4 linked regions of the Saccharomyces cerevisiae S288C genome follow. The gene in region 1 interacts genetically with each later gene. Each region holds a gene or a part of one and is shown in the gene's direction. Other genes may lie near its edges.

Evidence for each region.
Region 2: mutations in DOA4 (region 1) and DSC2 are lethal when combined (synthetic lethality), as found in Saccharomyces cerevisiae (2 studies listed by BioGRID, with this or other methods).
Region 3: of DOA4 (region 1) and BRO1, changing one suppresses a phenotype caused by changing the other (phenotypic suppression), as found in Saccharomyces cerevisiae (2 studies listed by BioGRID).
Region 4: of DOA4 (region 1) and CDC1, a mutation in one rescues a mutant of the other (synthetic rescue), as found in Saccharomyces cerevisiae (one study listed by BioGRID).

Annotation. Positions count from the first base shown.
Region 1 is NC_001136.10:584,012-590,000, reverse strand, and holds DOA4 (ubiquitin-specific protease DOA4), read left to right. Parts: upstream 1-2,281; coding exon 2,282-5,062; downstream 5,063-5,989. Other genes in the region: IPT1 (inositolphosphotransferase), read left to right, coding at 1-240; PAA1 (polyamine acetyltransferase), read left to right, coding at 599-1,174; FMP16 (Fmp16p), read left to right, coding at 1,622-1,903; DOS2 (Dos2p), read right to left, coding at 5,356-5,989. UniProt on the Saccharomyces cerevisiae protein: Ubiquitin thioesterase that acts at the late endosome/prevacuolar compartment to recover ubiquitin from ubiquitinated membrane proteins en route to the vacuole. Also removes ubiquitin from soluble proteins targeted to proteasomes.
Region 2 is NC_001147.6:192,652-197,016, reverse strand, and holds DSC2 (Dsc2p), read left to right. Parts: upstream 1-2,216; coding exon 2,217-3,185; downstream 3,186-4,365. Other genes in the region: succinate dehydrogenase assembly factor SDH5, read right to left, coding at 22-510; THP1 (Thp1p), read right to left, coding at 680-2,047; YOL075C (uncharacterized protein), read left to right, coding at 3,475-4,365.
Region 3 is NC_001148.4:391,513-397,611, forward strand, and holds BRO1 (Bro1p), read left to right. Parts: upstream 1-2,525; coding exon 2,526-5,060; downstream 5,061-6,099. Other genes in the region: COPII coat assembly protein SEC16, read left to right, coding at 1-2,142; tRNA splicing endonuclease subunit SEN54, read right to left, coding at 5,190-6,099. UniProt on the Saccharomyces cerevisiae protein: Class E VPS protein involved in concentration and sorting of cargo proteins of the multivesicular body (MVB) for incorporation into intralumenal vesicles. Fusion between endosomes and the vacuole will then target the cargo proteins to the vacuolar lumen.
Region 4 is NC_001136.10:825,031-829,953, forward strand, and holds CDC1 (putative lipid phosphatase CDC1), read left to right. Parts: upstream 1-2,551; coding exon 2,552-4,027; downstream 4,028-4,923. Other genes in the region: cohesin-loading factor complex subunit SCC2, read left to right, coding at 1-746; SAS4 (Sas4p), read right to left, coding at 880-2,325; YDR182W-A (uncharacterized protein), read left to right, coding at 4,121-4,324; PLP1 (Plp1p), read left to right, coding at 4,555-4,923. UniProt on the Saccharomyces cerevisiae protein: Probable metallophosphoesterase which may participate in recombinational repair of double -strand breaks.

The DNA of each region.
Region 1 (5,989 bases):
CAATGGTGGGCTACCATGTATCTGGACCACCATTATAGATTTGACCTTTTCGTTGGTGTTTTATATGCAATGACAAGTTTCATCATCATAAACTGGTTTGTTTTACAACCAAAAGTTTTAAAAAAGTGGATTCATATAAGGTTAGGCGACAAAGTGGATACAAGAAACGAAGCTCGCACTTTTGGCATGAGAGTATTTTGTGGCACCAAGATGGAATGGTTTTTTGATCCGCTTGCATAGACTATAGAATGTCATAATGTAATAAAAGTAATTTCGGATAATTTAAATAATATAGATTGGCTTTTTTTTTAATAATATATTATTAGTGTTATGCATGCTTTTTTTTTTTATTTTAATAAAGGGTTAACCTGAAATCGGCTTGCTTTTGGTTTTCTGTCAATTCATAAAAAGAATAGTTTTGAACGGGCAAAAATGGAAAAGCAATGGAAGAACGACGAACATCCCACTGGACAAGAAGCGGGAGCAAGTGTTTGTAAGAAAAATTTACAACAAACTAGATTAAGAAGAATTGGACATCAGAATACTTTTCTCGGAGAAAAAATAACACCAATACATTACGATTAAATAAAAAGTTAAAATGGCCTCCTCAAGTAGCACGCTACCGCTTCATATGTATATTAGACCCTTAATCATTGAAGATTTAAAGCAGATTTTGAACTTGGAAAGCCAAGGTTTCCCACCAAACGAAAGAGCTTCAGAAGAAATTATCAGCTTTCGTTTGATCAATTGTCCAGAGCTATGTTCAGGTCTTTTCATCAGAGAGATCGAGGGCAAAGAAGTTAAAAAGGAGACACTAATTGGTCATATTATGGGTACTAAGATACCTCATGAATACATTACTATCGAAAGCATGGGCAAATTACAAGTGGAATCGAGTAATCATATTGGTATTCACTCTGTAGTAATCAAGCCAGAATACCAGAAAAAAAACCTGGCTACTTTACTTTTAACTGACTACATTCAGAAATTGAGTAATCAGGAAATTGGTAACAAAATTGTCCTTATTGCTCACGAGCCATTGATACCATTTTATGAAAGAGTTGGTTTCAAGATCATTGCTGAGAACACCAATGTTGCTAAGGACAAAAACTTCGCAGAACAGAAATGGATCGATATGGAGAGAGAACTAATTAAGGAAGAATACGACAACTAGATCATTAGTTTAACGCACTTTACAAATGTCTAATTATAAATACTACATATAATTTTTGTATATTTTAAAATTGCCAAGTATAATTAAAATCATTACTACTGGTGCTACCCTACATCCTTGACCGTACTGAGATATCACTGCTTAATTCCGGTGATTGGGTTCTTTTCAGTTCTTGGAGAGATATACGTACTACCTTCCTTTTTTTTTAAGGATACCTTTACTGTAAAGGGTTTGTTCCTGTATCAACCCCTTCTTCCTGTACAGAATCTAAGGGAACCGTAAAAGCACATAAGTATATAAAGGTCCCAAGATTTGATTAGGTAGATATGGCCTTTGAGTTGGCTCTTAGTTTTTTTTGGCCTTGAATACTTGTTCCTACAATACTCCAACAGCAGTTGAAGCCAGACCGCAGTATCACATATATAATACACAGGAATATATTTGATAATGTTGAGAACCACTTTTTTGCGCACTCCAAGACAATTGATGCGTAAATCGCCAAGGGCGTCTTTCTCAATCGTCACTAGGGCCGCCTTTCCTCACCTAAAGAACAATCAAGATGAAGCTGAGAAAAAAGAACAGGGTTTGTTTGATAGCAACAAGAAGAGGTTGGACACTTTGGAACACGGCAAGAATCCAGATTATAAGCAACCTGGAATGGAAGATTTGAAAAAAAAGGGAGATGACGCTAGAATCGAACAAAACAGGCCAGATGACGGTGTTTATTAAGAAGCACTTGGTACAAACTCGTATATGCATGTAGTTTCTGTCATACACATATCTATATTCCTTCCCCCCTGGTCCTATCGTATTTAGTCATATCATATCATTTATTGATATCTATATAAGTGCAAAACTATAACCATTATTTATTTGCTTTCCACATTGTTTTACTTCATTTGCTTCAATATCGTTCATTACGTTTAGCGAATGGCTAAGGCCCTTGTATTAGTAAAAGCCTAGAAAAAAAAAAAAAAAAAAAAAAAAGGATATGATGTTATATGATACGTGTAGTTCATGTATTTATCTTCGGTAGTATAGGGCAGATTTAAGACTGAGTGTGCACGCTTCCAAAGTTTTTTTTACTATTTGATACATGCTTAAGTTATGGAGCAGAATATTATTAGTACCATAAGGGATGAGTGTATTCGTCACCGGTCGAAGTACCTTACGATAGCACAACTAACCGCTATTGCAGAGGCTAAAATTAACGAATTCATCATAACTGGTAAGGCAAAAGATCAAGATTTGAGCAGTCTTCTAGATAAATGCATCGATATTTTATCTATTTACAAGAAGAACTCGAAAGATATCAAAAATATTATATCGTGCAAAAATAAGGGTGCAATGATTAGTTCAAATTCCGTAATGATTATTCAATTAAATTATGTTTACTACAAGGTAATTCACATTATTGTAACAACCAATATTCCTCATTTAAGTGAATTCGCCAAGATTAAATTACATAAGAGCACGAGTGATGAGGGCAACGGTAATAACAACAATAATGAATTTCAACTCATGAACATTTACAACACTTTGCTGGAAACCTTATTAAAAGATGAAAACATTGCAAAAATAAAAAGTTTCATTAAGTCTTCCATAAAACAAACAAAATTGAACCATGAGCAAGAAGAATGTAACCTGATGAGAACGGGTTCCTATATCACTTCCAATCAATTAAACTCCCTAATAAGTTCATCAGCAAATTCTGCTTCCTCCCAAATGGAGATACTACTGATAGATATACGATCAAGGTTGGAATTCAACAAGTCACATATTGATACAAAAAATATTATATGCCTGGAGCCTATTTCTTTTAAAATGTCATATTCAGATCATGATTTGGAGAAAAAATCATTAATTACTTCTCCTAATAGTGAGATTAAAATGTTTCAAAGTAGAAATCTTTTCAAGTTTATCATTCTCTATACAGACGCAAACGAATACAATGTTAAACAGCAGTCTGTCCTGTTGGACATTCTGGTGAATCATTCCTTTGAAAAACCAATATCCGATGACTTTACCAAAATTTTCATTCTGGAATCTGGTTTTCCAGGTTGGCTTAAGTCAAATTATGGGAGGCAAGTATCATCATCTTTTCCATCAAATAACAATATTAAAGATGATAGTGTTTATATTAATGGTAACACTTCTGGCCTAAGTTTACAACATTTACCTAAGATGTCTCCCAGTATAAGACATTCAATGGACGACTCTATGAAAGAAATGCTAGTTGCGCCTACTCCATTAAATCATCTTCAACAACAGCAACAACAGCAATCAGACAATGATCATGTGCTAAAAAGATCTTCAAGTTTCAAAAAATTATTCTCAAATTATACGTCTCCTAATCCGAAGAATTCAAATTCAAACTTATATTCTATATCTTCGTTGTCCATATCTAGTTCACCATCGCCTTTACCTCTACATTCGCCTGACCCAGTTAAGGGCAATTCATTGCCAATCAATTATCCGGAAACGCCACATCTTTGGAAAAACAGTGAGACAGATTTTATGACAAATCAAAGAGAACAGTTGAATCACAACTCTTTTGCTCACATAGCTCCTATCAACACGAAGGCCATCACTTCTCCATCAAGAACTGCCACACCGAAGTTACAACGCTTCCCGCAAACAATTAGTATGAACCTTAATATGAACTCCAATGGACACAGTTCTGCCACCTCTACCATTCAACCTTCGTGTCTATCCTTGTCTAATAATGACTCTTTAGATCATACAGATGTTACACCAACTTCTTCTCATAATTATGACCTTGATTTCGCGGTTGGTTTGGAAAATCTAGGAAATTCGTGTTACATGAACTGTATCATTCAGTGTATCTTAGGTACACACGAATTAACCCAAATCTTTTTGGACGATTCATATGCTAAACACATCAATATTAATAGTAAGTTGGGATCGAAAGGTATTCTGGCAAAATATTTTGCAAGGTTGGTTCATATGATGTATAAGGAACAGGTTGATGGTTCAAAGAAAATTTCCATATCACCGATAAAATTTAAATTGGCATGTGGATCTGTTAACTCATTATTTAAGACTGCATCCCAACAGGACTGCCAAGAGTTTTGCCAATTCCTTCTAGATGGTCTTCATGAAGACTTGAACCAATGCGGTTCAAACCCACCTTTGAAGGAGCTTTCTCAAGAAGCTGAGGCGAGAAGAGAAAAACTGTCTTTGCGAATTGCCTCGTCAATTGAGTGGGAACGATTCTTGACTACTGATTTCAGTGTTATTGTCGACTTATTTCAGGGACAATACGCCTCACGACTAAAATGTAAAGTCTGTAGTCATACCTCGACAACATACCAACCTTTTACGGTGCTGTCAATCCCTATTCCTAAAAAAAATTCCCGAAATAATATTACCATTGAAGATTGTTTCAGAGAGTTCACCAAATGTGAGAACTTGGAAGTGGATGAGCAATGGTTGTGCCCACATTGTGAAAAAAGGCAGCCCTCCACGAAACAATTGACAATAACGAGATTACCGAGGAATCTGATAGTCCATTTAAAGAGATTTGATAATTTATTAAACAAAAATAATGACTTCGTCATATACCCTTTTTTGTTGGACTTGACTCCATTTTGGGCCAATGATTTTGACGGGGTTTTTCCTCCAGGTGTTAATGACGATGAACTACCAATAAGGGGACAAATACCACCTTTTAAGTATGAATTATATGGTGTAGCATGCCACTTTGGTACTTTGTATGGTGGTCATTATACAGCCTATGTGAAAAAGGGATTAAAGAAGGGATGGCTATATTTTGATGATACCAAATATAAACCTGTCAAAAACAAAGCCGATGCAATTAACTCTAATGCATACGTTTTGTTTTATCACCGCGTCTACGGTGTTTGATTCATTTGAATAAATAACTGAAAACCGTTGTCTATACACTTTTTTTCCCGTTCAACATGGCATATCATTATTTCCATCTAAGGTCAAAGTAAAAAACCCTAAATACAAATGATTTATTTTAACGGTAACAAACGAACTTTTTTTTAGAAGGTGTAAAGATGAGATCACGCCCAGATTTTGTCTTCCTCCTGTGCATCTCTTGGATTGATGATTTTCCTTTCTACCATAATACGTCATGAAAAGTATGTAAATATTTATAGCATTACATATATCTTTTATATGAAAAAAATCACTCATTCCCAGTCATCATCGTCGTCGTCGTCCTTGCTCTCATCCTTGTTGGCGAGGCCAACATGGTCACTAACATCTTTCAATCCCTCTTGAGACACAGCAACTTTCGTCTCCCCTTTAGATTTGTTGTCAGCTACTGCTTCTACTTTGTCATCATCTTCTTCTTCTTCTTCGTCATCCCACTCAACTTCTTTTTCCTCCGTTTCCTTTTCCTTTTTGGACAATATTTCTTTCCTTTTACTTTCTTTATCTAGAATTTTGTTTCTTTGTAAGAAATAGATGTGCCAGAAATCTTTATAGCTGATTTTATGGGGTACGATGTCGTTCATTAATTTGGAGATATCTTTGTCGCCCTGTAAAATAGAACATATCTCCTCAGTTTTTTCATCCACGTCAAACGGGTCCAGTTGCAAATCCATTTTATTGTCTAAATAAACCGATTTATCTTTAGATAATGTCCTTAGTTCGGCTTCTGTTCTATTTCCACCCACAGCAATTTCATTTTCTTTCGAATTCTCATCCTTGTCATTAGAGTCATTTTCTGCAGCATTATCGAAGCTACTGAAGCCAGACCAAAAATTCTTAGTTTTCATTTTGCTCCAATATGACTGGGCTAGACTTTCCACGCTGTGAATA
Region 2 (4,365 bases), on another chromosome or scaffold:
TAGTAATTCAATGGCTTGTATTCATTGATACTTGGACAAGTCCGGCATACTTAAAATTTCCTTCTCTTTATTTTCACTGAATTCTTGTAGCTGCTTCAGCAATTTAGAATTGGCCCACTTGTCAGGCAAGGGGCTGGTTTTGAAATTTTTTGTGGCCCAATAGTATATGTCCCAGTCCAACTCATTCAATAGCGAATCGTATTCTTCCAGTTCCTCTTCGTTCATCTTCTTCAAATATTTGGCAGCGAACCCAGATAGCAGCAAGTCCGTCTCCAAGATCCCTCTTTTGCGTGATTGATATATCAACCGAGCTCTTTTCTTATCCAATGGCTCGTTAGTTCTCTTTATGGGGGCAATTTTAATCCTCGTCACCACATCGTCGTGGTCATCTTTATCACTACTAAACCACCTACGACCGCACGACCATGCAGCGGACCCTGTTTGAGAGTTGATAATCTTGTAGCCTTGCAACGACAGTGTCTTTGTGAGTGCTGGAAACATATTGTGCATTTATGTGCTCCTTTTTAAAGTGTACTCCCTTTTTTCCTCCTGTTCTTTTTTTACAAATTTCGCCTTTCTTATATATCCTAAATATACTTAAAATCTAGTCTCTTATGAAATCTGTAAGAAACAGCATAATGTCGCTCCTTCTCTTCTATTTCCTATATATATCTACATATCACCAAAGAACGTGAGAATGGGCAGGAAACATCTTGGTGATTCGTTCATTAACCGGCGGAACAATCTCTTGTATCATTGTAGTCTTTTTCACTACACACAGTTGTAACTGTGGGAAACAGTTTGCGCGTAAAAGTCCCAAGTTAATCAGTGTCACAAGTACGTTTTCGACGTTCTTGGGGGAGTGAATGCCATTATAAATGGTAATTTCCTGGGCGCCGGGATCCTCGAATGTCGGACCAATAGATAGCTGTAGTACCCGTTCTATCAAGGAGTACGGTAATTTGTTCTGACCCCATTCGGTGGTCCAGGACTTTATTACCGTTTTAATCAGATTTCTGTACGTTACCATGGGCAGTTTCTCTAGGAGCACGATCAGTAACTGTCTTGCACACAAATGACGCTCGTTTTGTCTCAGCCAGAGACTCACGCCTTGAATATTCCCATAACGTACGTGTTTGTAGAGAACACTCCAATTATCAATTGTTTCTTGGGAAAGGAACGGTCGCAACGGTCCCCATTTGACCATCTTTCCCAGTATCAGCCCTGTAGGGATCATGTAATTTAGTATTCTGGTGCCATTCCTAGTGATCGCTTGGTTCGTTAACGGCAAGTTCAATAAGGACTGGAAAGCTTCATTGAATTGAACGAAGGCATTATGTACTTGAGAGTTCAACAAGTAGTACCTTCCTAATAGATATCTGTATTCTATTTGCTGGTCGAGCTGGTATTCGTTGAAATGTGCAAGCATGCTTTTTGGCTGAAAGTTCTTAAAGATATTGGAACATAATTGCGGTGACTCGATCCTGAAGTAGATGTTATTTAGTTTATTGACCAGGTAGAGCAGTATTCGTTGTTTTCCAGGTATATTTGTAGAAGATGCGTTACCTCGTGGAGGTTTGATGCTGTTAAATAGTCTTGATAGGATGGACGATATATGTGATAGAAATTGGTGACTTCTCGTATGCAGTTGCAAGTGGAAAGAGTCTAGTTTCCCAGCGAGATTGATGATAAATTCTGTTTCTCTAGTTGCTACTGGTATCAACATTTCTATGTGAGGAGCATTGTCGTTGATGAGACAGTTGATTAAACATTGATAAAACTCAAAAATTAGATCCGAACTGGACCAGGCTGACCATGGGTCGACATCTCGGGCATAATTTAAAAAGGATGTACACATGATTTTGAATCTCGTATCATTGGGCATAGCCGGGTGTTGTTCTACAAACGTTTCTAGCTGTTTATCATCAAATCCGGTCAATTGCTTCTGTAAGATAGCAATTTCCCTACCATTTTGGGACAAGTTTAGCGTTAGGTGGGAAAAATTTCCATGTGCTAATTCATCTAGCAACTGGTTGGCCATGTCCATTGCTATCTATCCTTTTATCCCTGCCCTGTTTCTTACTTTGAATGCCATTGATGTGAAGATGGTTTTTTTTTTTTGGAAAAGTATAGAAGAGAAATTTGACGTATAAACTTAACTATTAAAGGGAGAGAAAGTCAACGACATAAAAAGCAAACACAATAGTCTACAAATAATGTCTATGGAGCCTCCTGTGGGGCTTACGGCTATGCCCGTCACCAAGCTAGCCATGATCACGACGCTTGTGGTTCCCTTAGTTGCCTCGATTGCAAGTTACAAACATATATTTCTATTGCAATATGATCCTTTTCTGCAGACCTACCATCAATACTACCGTCTGCTCATATTCCAGTTCTGCGCCATCAATGAATCCGATACAGTAATACTGGCGTTGATATGGTATCTGTTTAGGCATTTAGAACGGCTACTAGGATCCCACAAGTACTTGACCTTGATTGTTTTGTCATGGGCCTACACCACCTTAGGAATTTGGGGATTGAATCTGATCTGGAACGCATTTATTGGACAGTACAAGTGGCTTCAATGGAACAATTTTAGTACAGGTTCACTGCCCATTGTTTTAAGCTTAGTACATTTTTACAAAGAATACACCCCTCAGATTTACGAATGGAATATAAGATTACTAGGACCTCGAGGAGGAGCATCAAGTCACAATGATAACAAGCGAGAAGACAAGAGCGCCGTAGAGTGGAAAATCAACGATCAGTTTCTTTTAAATGGGTTAATTCTCCTGCTTATATTAAATCAGGGGTTTGCAGGAATACTATGCGGATTCATAAGCTGGATGTGTGGTATTTTCATCGATAAGGGCCTGTTACCGGGATTAGACCATTGGAGAATACCGTTTGTATCCTATTTCATCTCTCAAGGCCCACCCACGAGGGCTAACGTTGCTATAGCGGCCAATGCGGCCACGAATACAGCAGCAGCAAGAGCCACTGTAGAAGCAGCTACTGCTGCTACAGGAAATGGAAATACAGGCAACTCTGGGCCTACAAGCCTACCGCTTCGTGGTTCAAGCACCACCCCTACAAATACCTCTAGCGCTGGTGATGACGAGCCTGGTGCCGATGAACCTGCAAGACCACTGGGAGTCCAATTTTTGGATACCTTTAGGAGATGATTTATATCAGCATATACCTACATAAACAAATAAACATAGCAACGGTTTAGCAACATCGTTTACAGCCATGTGAGGCAGTTACTTCTATCATATGTCTGGCTTTAGTATTGTTGGGTTGACACTTATACGAAATATCAGAAAGTGAAAAAAAAAAAAGGAAGGATCTAGTGATGAGATAAACGAATTTGTGATGTAAATGCAGAAGTAGGCACAAGTGCTTGGCAGTTTTCAAACGATCATCGTATTTTAAGCTACAATCACCAACGCCAAACATCCACTTGCAGCCACTATGTCACAGCAGGAGAATGGTGATGTGGCCACTGAATTAATCGAAAATAGACTTTCCTTCTCAAGAATCCCTAGAATAAGCCTTCATGTAAGGGATTTGTCAATCGTTGCATCCAAAACAAATACGACGCTAGTTAATACGTTTTCCATGGACCTGCCCAGTGGGTCGGTCATGGCAGTTATGGGTGGTTCGGGGTCAGGGAAGACTACGTTGCTGAATGTTCTGGCATCCAAGATCAGTGGTGGGTTAACTCATAATGGTTCTATACGGTACGTATTGGAAGATACAGGTTCAGAACCCAATGAAACAGAGCCTAAGAGGGCTCACTTGGATGGCCAAGACCATCCCATCCAGAAACACGTAATAATGGCGTACCTACCTCAACAAGATGTACTCTCTCCTAGGTTGACTTGTAGAGAAACTCTTAAGTTTGCAGCTGATTTGAAACTAAACTCTTCTGAGCGAACCAAGAAATTAATGGTCGAGCAATTAATTGAAGAATTAGGGCTCAAGGATTGTGCCGATACTCTTGTGGGGGACAACTCGCACAGGGGTCTTTCTGGTGGTGAAAAGAGAAGACTAAGTATTGGTACTCAAATGATTTCAAACCCTTCCATCATGTTCTTAGATGAGCCTACCACTGGACTGGATGCATATTCTGCCTTCTTGGTTATTAAAACTTTGAAAAAATTAGCTAAAGAAGATGGCAGGACTTTTATCATGTCAATTCATCAGCCGAGATCGGATATATTGTTTTTATTGGACCAGGTTTGTATTTTGTCAAAGGGAAATGTGGTATATTGTGACAAAATGGATAATACTATCCCTTATTTTGAGTCTATTGGTTATCACGTACCCCAGCTGGTAAATCCAGCAGATTATTTCATTGAT
Region 3 (6,099 bases), on another chromosome or scaffold:
CATAGTGTGCTGCATTCAAAGCCTTCCAATGTGTCAAAGGGGTTAGTTGAAGCAAACTTACCGTATACGCATAGGATCGGTGATAGTTTGCAGGGATCTCCTCAGCGCATTCATAATACACAGTTCGCTGCTGCTGAGCCTCAAATGGCTTCTTTGAGAAGAGTTAGAACAGACCAGCATACAAACGAAAAGGCTTTGAAGAGTCAGCAGATTTTAGAGAAAAAGTCTACGGCCTACACTCCACAATTTGGACAGAACCATAGCGTTCCAATGGAAAAGTCTAATTCGAATGTGCCATCTTTATTTGCCGACTTCCCTGCTCCACCCAAACTTGGAACAGTGCCGTCTAATTATGTGTCTAGTCCTGACTTAGTAAGAAGGGAGTCTATCATATCTACCGGATCAGAATTTCTTCCTCCTCCCAAAATTGGGGTACCTACTAAAGCTAATTCCTCGCAGGGATCGCTTATGTACTCACCAAGTGTGGAAGCTTTGCCTATCGACCCTGTCGTCCCGCAAGTTCATGAGACGGGATACAATGATTTTGGTAACAAACATTCTCAAAAAAGTATGCCTGAAGATGAATCTCACACATCACATGATAATAGCAATGCTGATCAAAATACATTAAAAGACTCTGCAGATGTTACAGATGAAACAATGGATATTGAAGGACCTGGCTTCAACGATGTGAAGAATCTTCTTCCTATGGAGCCCAACCACCAGCCTACGTCTACAGTAAATCCTATACAAACTATTAGTGACGATATCCAACCGATTCTTCAAACTAACGTGGAGGTCCGGGGTACTGATGCATCGAAAATGGAAAATTCACTTCCCTCCATTGAAAATGAAAGAAGTAGCGAGGAGCAGCCAGAAAACATTTCAAAATCAGCATCATCAGCATATTTACCATCAACTGGTGGATTGTCACTCGAAAACAGACCGCTAACTCAGGATGAAAACAGTATCTCAGAGACAGTTCAATCCACATACTTGCCAGCAGGAAGTATTTCAATGGAAGCTAAACCAATTTCTCAAGTGCAAGATGTTCCAAGAAATGTTAATAATAAAGCATCCAAACTTGTGGAGCAACATATGGCACCACCAAAGCCAAAAAGTACTGACGCAACCAAAATGAACTACTCACCATACGTGCCTCAATCAACTGCCGCTAGTGCAGATGGCGATGAATCAACGATTCTGAAAACATCGCCTGCTATATATGCAAGAACTCACCAAGCACATGCATCCAATCCATCACAATACTTTCCTTTGGTCAACCAAGCAAATGAAACTGCTTCATTCGAATTATCTGAATCAACATCCCAGGCACAAAGTAATGGAAATGTTGCTTCAGAAAATAGATTCAGCCCAATAAAGAAAGCCGAAGTCGTCGAGAAAGACACTTTTCAACCTACTATTAGGAAGGCTTCAACTAACCAATACAGGGCTTTTAAACCGTTGGAATCAGATGCGGATAAATACAATGACGTTATTGAAGATGAATCCGATGACGACAATATGTCTACTGATGAGGCAAAGAACAGAAAGGAAGAAAAAAAGAATGTGAATATGAAAAAGGAAACAAAACCAAGTAACAAGGACATAGATGACAAGTCTAATGGTTGGTTTGGTTGGTTGAAGAAAGATACTGGCGACAAAAAAGTGTATAAGGCCAAGCTAGGTCATAAAAACACACTATACTATGATGAAAAATTGAAACGTTGGGTGAATAAGGACGCAACCGAAGAGGAAAAACAAAAAATTATTGAAAGTTCGGCACCACCACCTCCTCCAATCGTGAAACGTAAAGATGGCGGCCCAAAGACAAAGCCACGTTCAGGCCCCATCAATAATTCCCTACCTCCAGTACATGCCACATCAGTTATTCCGAACAATCCAATCACTGGTGAGCCTTTGCCGATCAAAACATCCCCTTCTCCTACAGGACCCAATCCAAACAATTCTCCATCACCATCCTCTCCCATATCAAGGATTTCTGGCGTAAACTTGACTAGCAAAAAGGCAAACGGTTTGGATGATTTATTGAGTTTGGCAGGAGGACCCAAACCAGCAAGTACGAGAAGGAAGAAGAAAACAGCGAGAGGCTATGTTAATGTAATGGATAACATACAATAATTATAGTAATACGTTTTTCTTTCATGGTACCCTTATGCCTTCCCTTTTCTTGATGTATATTATATACTTATAAAAACCGTAGTAAATTTTATTAAAACAATGATTACAGGAATCCGTATTTAGGTTATGCATCGTTGTCAGTAAGAAATCAGATGAATGCGATCTGAAACTTTGCTTATACTAATATTATTCTATCATACCTCATTTTCTTGCTTCGATTAATGCAGGACGCCGGTTCCGGGTTAGGATCACCGAGAAACAGAAAGCAAGCAAGGCTTCAGTTACAATTCGAAGAAGTACTAAGGGGGTTGTCGTGGAAAAATCTTGAATCAGAAAGCGGCTGACTGGAGCATTACTAGGTTCATTACTCACTGGTTCTACTCATGAAACCTTACTTATTTGACCTAAAGCTAAAAGACACAGAGAAGCTGGATTGGAAAAAAGGCCTCTCCTCATATCTCAAGAAATCATACGGCTCCTCACAATGGAGAACATTTTATGATGAGAAAGCTACTTCAGAACTGGATCACTTAAGGAATAATGCAAATGGAGAACTAGCACCTTCTTCATTGTCGGAACAAAATCTAAAATATTACTCATTTTTGGAGCATCTTTATTTTCGCCTGGGTAGCAAAGGATCAAGATTAAAAATGGATTTCACTTGGTATGACGCAGAATACTCATCGGCCCAGAAAGGATTGAAATACACGCAACATACGTTAGCATTTGAAAAGTCTTGTACTTTGTTCAACATTGCTGTAATCTTTACCCAAATTGCGAGGGAGAATATCAATGAGGACTACAAAAACTCAATCGCAAATTTGACAAAAGCTTTTTCCTGTTTTGAATATCTATCAGAAAATTTTTTGAACTCACCTTCAGTCGATCTTCAGTCAGAAAACACTAGGTTTCTGGCTAATATTTGCCATGCAGAAGCTCAAGAATTGTTTGTCTTGAAATTATTAAATGATCAAATATCATCCAAGCAATATACATTAATCAGTAAACTTTCTAGAGCCACGTGTAACCTCTTTCAGAAATGTCACGATTTTATGAAAGAAATAGATGACGATGTGGCCATTTATGGTGAACCCAAATGGAAAACGACAGTTACTTGCAAACTGCATTTCTACAAATCGTTAAGCGCTTATTATCACGGTTTACACCTTGAAGAAGAAAATAGAGTTGGCGAAGCAATTGCTTTTCTCGATTTTTCTATGCAACAATTGATTTCATCCCTTCCATTCAAAACGTGGTTAGTGGAATTTATAGACTTTGATGGGTTTAAAGAAACTTTAGAAAAGAAACAAAAGGAGTTGATTAAAGATAACGATTTTATATATCATGAAAGCGTTCCAGCCGTTGTGCAGGTTGATTCCATTAAGGCGCTCGATGCAATAAAATCTCCAACATGGGAGAAGATATTAGAACCATATATGCAAGATGTTGCAAATAAATGTGACTCTTTGTACAGAGGAATTATTCCCCTAGATGTCTATGAAAAGGAAAGTATTTACTCAGAAGAAAAAGCGACGCTGTTGAGAAAGCAAGTTGAAGAAACTGAGACAGCAAATTTGGAATATTCTTCCTTCATCGAATTTACAAATCTACCCAGGCTCTTGAGTGATTTGGAAAAACAATTTAGTGACGGAAATATTTTCTCGAATACGGATACACAGGGACAATTGATGAGGGACCAAATTCAGACATGGTGTAAATTTATCCAAACAAATGAATTTAGGGATATAGAAGAACAGATGAACAAAATTGTTTTCAAAAGGAAACAAATTTTAGAAATCCTTTCTGCCTTACCCAATGATCAAAAAGAAAATGTTACAAAACTAAAATCTTCTTTAGTAGCTGCTTCAAACTCAGACGAAAAATTGTTCGCATGCGTAAAACCACATATTGTCGAGATCAATCTATTGAATGACAATGGAAAAATATGGAAGAAGTTTGACGAATTTAATCGCAATACGCCTCCACAACCTAGCCTATTGGATATCGATGATACCAAAAACGACAAGATATTAGAGTTGTTAAAACAAGTAAAGGGCCATGCGGAAGACTTAAGAACATTGAAAGAGGAACGTTCGAGAAATTTGTCTGAACTAAGAGACGAAATCAACAACGATGATATCACAAAATTATTAATTATTAATAAGGGGAAATCCGATGTTGAGCTCAAAGATTTATTCGAGGTGGAACTGGAGAAATTCGAGCCTTTGAGCACAAGAATAGAGGCGACAATTTACAAACAATCTTCAATGATAGATGACATCAAAGCCAAGCTAGATGAAATTTTTCACCTTTCAAATTTCAAGGATAAATCTTCTGGGGAAGAAAAATTTTTAGAAGATCGTAAGAATTTTTTTGATAAGCTGCAAGAAGCAGTGAAATCATTCAGTATTTTTGCATCCGACTTGCCAAAAGGAATAGAGTTCTATGATTCATTATTCAATATGAGTAGAGACTTAGCAGAAAGAGTGAGAGTTGCAAAGCAGACCGAGGATTCAACAGCTAATTCTCCCGCTCCTCCCCTCCCTCCACTTGATTCTAAAGCGTCTGTCGTTGGGGGTCCTCCATTACTGCCCCAAAAAAGTGCAGCCTTTCAGTCATTATCTAGACAAGGGCTCAATTTAGGGGACCAATTTCAAAATCTCAAAATAAGTGCCGGCAGTGATTTACCTCAAGGACCCGGTATTCCACCAAGAACTTATGAAGCTTCGCCATATGCTGCAACGCCTACTATGGCAGCCCCACCAGTACCACCGAAACAATCGCAAGAGGATATGTACGACTTGAGAAGACGTAAAGCAGTTGAAAACGAAGAACGTGAACTGCAAGAGAATCCTACGTCCTTTTACAATAGACCCTCTGTTTTTGATGAAAATATGTACTCCAAATACAGCAGTTAGGTGCATTTCTTATTTCTTAATTTTATTGTAGCTTTTTTTTTTCAACTAATATGATAATTATATATATACCGGATTTGTTGAAAGCCAGTTTTGCAAGGATAAAGAAACTGCGATTTAGCAAAAGTCCCTTTAATGCTTCTTCCATCTTTGATCTACTTTCTTTTGAGTATTAGGTGTATACCATACACTTTCAGATCCAAAATCAGCCTCGGACATTTTTACAAACGAAATAAGGCCATTATCCATAATAGCGATAATAAAGCTCCGATATCCCGTCTTCAATCTACGATTTTGCTGTATGTGAGGTGGGTACGCCTTTCTCTTCTTTTTCGTGCTAGACTGTGCAGTTTTTTTTTGAAAACTTGCTTTCATAGACGACTCACTTTTTTCAGTTTGAGATTTCGCGCTCCTCTTATGAATATATTCCTTTCGTGGGATATCTTCAACGTAGGAGTTTGTCTCCCAATCGTCATCATCCTCGATTTCGCTTAAAAATTCGAATTTATAATCAAGTGAGGAAAACATAGATCGCAGCTCTTTATAGGTAGGAAAATGCTGAAGATCGTCATTTTTATTGTAAACGAAAACTTGGAAATCAGGAAGACCGGGGTCTCTTTTCTTGAAATTAGAATGGGGTTTCCATACTTTAAATGTCAAGGGAATATCCTTTACCTTTTGAAATTCCCTATCAGATTGTGCATCCAATAGCTCTTTTTTATTCTTTGGTACAGCCACGGAACGAACAAGCCTATTTAAACCCTGGTATAACTGTGGTGAAGTCGTATATTTACGAAAAAAAAAATTCCACTTAGAATAGAAGAAACCACTAAACAGCGATAACTCTTGTATTTTAAACAATGAAAGTAATCTCCAAGTGATTGCTTGTAAATTACTTCGTTGCTTTTTCAATGGGAAAAAGGAAGTCTTGACTGCTGCTTCTTGATTGCTGGGTTTTAGAATAAAACCCAACCTTTTTAAATGAGCAAACACAAAATATTGGTCCATTTCCTGTTGCGATGAAAACAGCGAATACAAATCC
Region 4 (4,923 bases), 240 kb from region 1:
CCTCTCATTCAATTCCAACTGTAATTGCTTTATTTGCCTCTACTAGCCAGTATATTCGTCATGTCGCCTATGAGTTGTTAGAAGATCTTTTTGAGAAATACGAAACGCTAGTATTCAGTAGTTTATCTCGAGGGGTTACAAAAGCTATACATTATTCTATTCATACAGATGAGAAGTATTATTACAAGCACGATCATTTTTTGTCTTTACTTGAAAAATTATGTGGAACTGGAAAAAAAAATGGCCCAAAGTTCTTTAAAGTTCTGAAGAGAATCATGCAATCCTATTTAGATGATATCACCGATTTAACATCAACAAATAGTAGTGTTCAAAAGTCCATTTTCGTTCTCTGCACTAACATTTCGAATATCACATTTGTTTCTCAGTACGATTTGGTGTCCCTACTCAAAACCATTGATTTAACTACAGATAGATTAAAAGAGGTTATCATGGATGAAATAGGTGACAATGTTTCATCGCTATCCGTATCAGAAGAAAAGCTCAGTGGAATAATTTTAATACAGTTAAGCTTACAGGATTTGGGTACTTATCTACTGCACTTATACGGGTTAAGGGATGATGTGCTTTTATTAGATATTGTAGAAGAATCAGAATTGAAGAACAAACAACTCCCTGCAAAGAAGCCGGATATCAGTAAGTTTTCCGCACAGTTGGAGAATATTGAACAGTATTCATCAAATGGCAAGCTTCTTACATATTTTAGAAAACACGTGAAGGATACGTAAATATATTGCACTTAAAATATACATAGTATTAATAATCATTTTGCATTTTCCATGCTGATTTTTCACGCAGGTTTTGAGAAGCAACTATGAAATATTGAATTTCATTTACACCATCGCATTATATTAGTTCAAACTAAACCTTTTTTTTCTTGCGGACAGGCAAAATATTAATACCTGAGTTAGTTTTCATTCCATTGTGTGTTTTTACAAAGGTCTTTTCGTTACAAGAGGGCACTATTGCTAAGTTTGGGTTGATATTGTTAATAATAGCACCCACATTCTCAGAAGACCTTTGTGAAATCTGAGATGCAGTGCAAGATGAAATTGAACCTAAAGGTGCCTTCTCTGAAAGAGTTGGACTTATAGATGCAGCATTGTTCCTTAAGGCATTCATTTCTTTTGATTTGACAGTCTCTGTCACAGATATTTCCTCCGCTTTAACATTCAGTTTCATAGACTTTTGTGTATCTTGCCTTATATCCCGAATGACTTCTGGTTCCACCTCCATCGTTAACGGGATGACTTCCCTTCTTCTTTTCACAGCAATTTGCGTTGATATTCGAGGAGCTTTCTTGAATTTTTTTGGATTTGTGGGAACTTTGTTTTTCCATGAATTTCTCTCTTTAGTGGAGGTTTTAATCAAATACGGTTTTCGGAGCGGCTCAGCTACGATAGCAAACCGTGTCATTCCCTTTTGTGATTGATGATCGCTCAGCAGTACTATAATGGAACCACCGCATTGCTGCTCTCTCTTCTTTAGGCGTCTCTCCCTTATTTCCTCAACGGTTATTTTTTCTTCTTCTTCGTCAGAGGAGCTTGCGTAATCTGGAATAAAAGTTCGATCGATTCGAGTATATATCTTGGGCCAATCTTTGCCACTAACCAATTTCAACAATGAATCACTTGAGGCTGGCCTTCTAGCTAAATTGCGGCTTTTTTTTTTCATAGATTCAAATTTATGTAACATTGAATCAATCAGCTCTTTAGTTTGGTAACGTTTAGTCTCCATTTCATTCTCGTCAGTGGGGTCATTTATTTTAGTAACCTTCTGTAATGTTACTTCCCAATTCAACATACCCAGTCTGTCTGAAATTAATGAAAGCCTGTCTGCTTCATTTTCACCATTTACGATGTCCGATTGAATCATTCTATTTTCTTGCTTCAACATTTTCTTGTGGTAAGGCTGATACGTGCTATCAGGAAGCAAATCATCAGTTGGTTTTCTAATATTCTGGCTCAATTCATGATGTTCAATTTCTAGTGTCATCTTTGTAATTGTCTCTCTCTTTTTCTTGATCTCATCATCGACATTACTCATGAACGGCGACTTCATCACAGGTTTCTGACAACGCGTTTCGTCAACATGCTCATCTACAGTAAAGCAGGACTTAGATTTCCTTAGATGTCCAGCATTTGGGTTTATCCTGCTGACTAATCTTAACTTCCTTTTAGGGTTAATTTCGTATTCTTCTGTATCAAAATCGAATTTTTCAAATTCTCCATGACTATTTTTAATCTCAGACCTCAGCAATCTCTCAGAAGTATTATTTGCTTCTTCTATTGATTGAAAAATACCCATTGATGAACTCTCATATGCTTTTAATGCTGTAGAAATTTTCGGTTTTCCTTTTTAATCTTGCTACTTTTTGTTTTGAGATCGCTGAAATCAACTCGCGGGTTAGATTTTCTTATTTTTAAAAATGTAGAACGAACGATTATGGAAACAACAATAACCAAAAAGAAAGGGAAAACAGTACCGCTTCTACTAATCTGTTGGATACATTAGACAATAAGCTCTAGGAAGTATGGTATATCGTAACAGGTCAAAGAGCGTTTTATCTACACACAGCAAGAAGAGCGACGATAAGGCCCACTATAAATCACGTTCGAAAAAGAAATCAAAAAGCAGGAGCAAGAAGAGGTTAAGAATCTACTGGAGATACATATCTATTGTATGGATCTTATGGTTAGGATTAATATCTTATTATGAATCAGTGGTTGTGAAGAGAGCAATGAAGAAGTGCCAATGGTCGACTTGGGAGGATTGGCCTGAAGGCGCTGAAAGTCATAGGGTGGGTTTATTTGCAGACCCACAAATAATGGACGAATATTCATATCCTGGGAGGCCTCAAATAGTTAATTATTTTACAAGAGTGATTGTTGACCATTATCACAGGAGAAATTGGAAATATGTCCAGTATTACTTGGATCCTGATAGCAATTTTTTCCTAGGTGATCTATTTGATGGAGGGAGAAACTGGGATGATAAGCAATGGATTAAAGAGTACACACGATTCAACCAAATATTCCCCAAGAAGCCACTGAGAAGAACGGTCATGTCTTTACCAGGTAATCACGATATTGGTTTTGGAGACACAGTTGTTGAATCGAGTTTACAGAGATTTTCTAGTTACTTTGGAGAAACTTCCTCCTCATTAGACGCTGGAAATCATACCTTTGTACTTTTAGATACAATTTCGCTTTCTGATAAAACAAATCCGAATGTCTCGAGGGTTCCTAGACAGTTTTTGGATAATTTTGCAATGGGTTCACATCCGCTTCCTAGAATTCTTTTAACTCACGTTCCATTATGGAGGGATCCAGAACAGCAAACGTGCGGTCAGCTACGTGAATCCAAAGAACCTTTTCCTATTCAGAAAGGGCACCAGTACCAGACAGTTATAGAAAACGATATATCACAAGAAATTTTAACGAAAATTCAACCAGAAATATTATTTTCCGGGGATGATCATGACCATTGTCAGATATCACACTCATATCCGTTTCAGGGGAAAACTAAAAATGCTCAAGAAATTACAGTAAAGTCATGTGCAATGAACATGGGGATCAGTAGGCCTGCTATTCAATTGCTCTCCTTATATAATCCTTCAGATTTGACAATGGTAAATGCCGGCGGAGAGTATGCATCAAAAACTTACCAAACAGAGCTATGCTATATGCCAGATCCCTATAAGGCAATCAGAATGTACCTATGGGGATTATTATTCTCTGCTGCCTTTATCGCATACATGCATTTTTTCCCAAAATCTTTTAATAATCGCGTAGCAACCATAATGAACAGAGTATTTACACGACCTGATGGTAACACCTCAGATTTGCCATTACCTACAAGTATTTCCAAATCGAAATCCAAAAAATCATTGACACATAGTAAATACGCTGTGAATGATACGCGTTCGATCAAACAATTTCTAGTTAATGCAATTGTCCTTTTTGTTTCTGTGATGCCCATTTTTATTTATTTTTATACTGTAGTCTAGACAGAATTACTGCTATTCTCTTCCAGGATCAAAATGCTTTGAAGGGAAACGTCTGGCTATTTAATATATGCGAATACACCTTATATACAGACAATGAACAAGAGATATAAATTATACCGGGTGTGGTATTACTATGCTCACCAAACAGTTTGCATAACCTCTACTGGATTTGCATTATGTTTTGTGGTCCAAGCTAAAACTGCAGGACTGGGCGTAACACCAATTACTTCACTATACGGGGACAAAAAAGAACACCTAGGTAAGTTGTTGGTTCCTTTAGTTTTATATCAAATTTAGCAAGTCATGACGGCAAATTTCTTTGTAAGCTTTGTTTAAAAGATGGATACAAAAGGACGACTTTCCTTTCAATCTTTCGTTTTTGCTTTTTATTATTCCATAGCAATATAGTGATCATAGTAGTGTAATTTTTAGAGTTTAAAAAACACGAAAGTAGGATGAAGTACAAAAGATTAACGAAAATACTCCATTCTCTTAACAACTCATACGTATATGAAGATTAAATTAATATGGAAGATAAATTAGACAGATACTACACAAATGTGCTTTCAAATGCTGAAAAGGATAAACACACAACTGTCGATAGCGATGACAAAAGTAGTGGCGAGGAAAATTTAGATGAACTACTTAATGAATTGGATAGAGAATTAGACGAGGATCATGAATTTTTGAGTGCTTATCGGTCGGAGAGGCTACAACAAATATCAGATCATTTAAAACAGGTCAAGAAGAATGTTGAGGATGACGGATACGGTAGATTGCAGTGCATTGATAACGAGGCAGATGCTATCCAAATATGTACAAAGACTACTATGGTGGTCATACATTTTGAATTAGAAACATTCGGTAAGTGCCAGTATATGAATGAAAAACTGGAA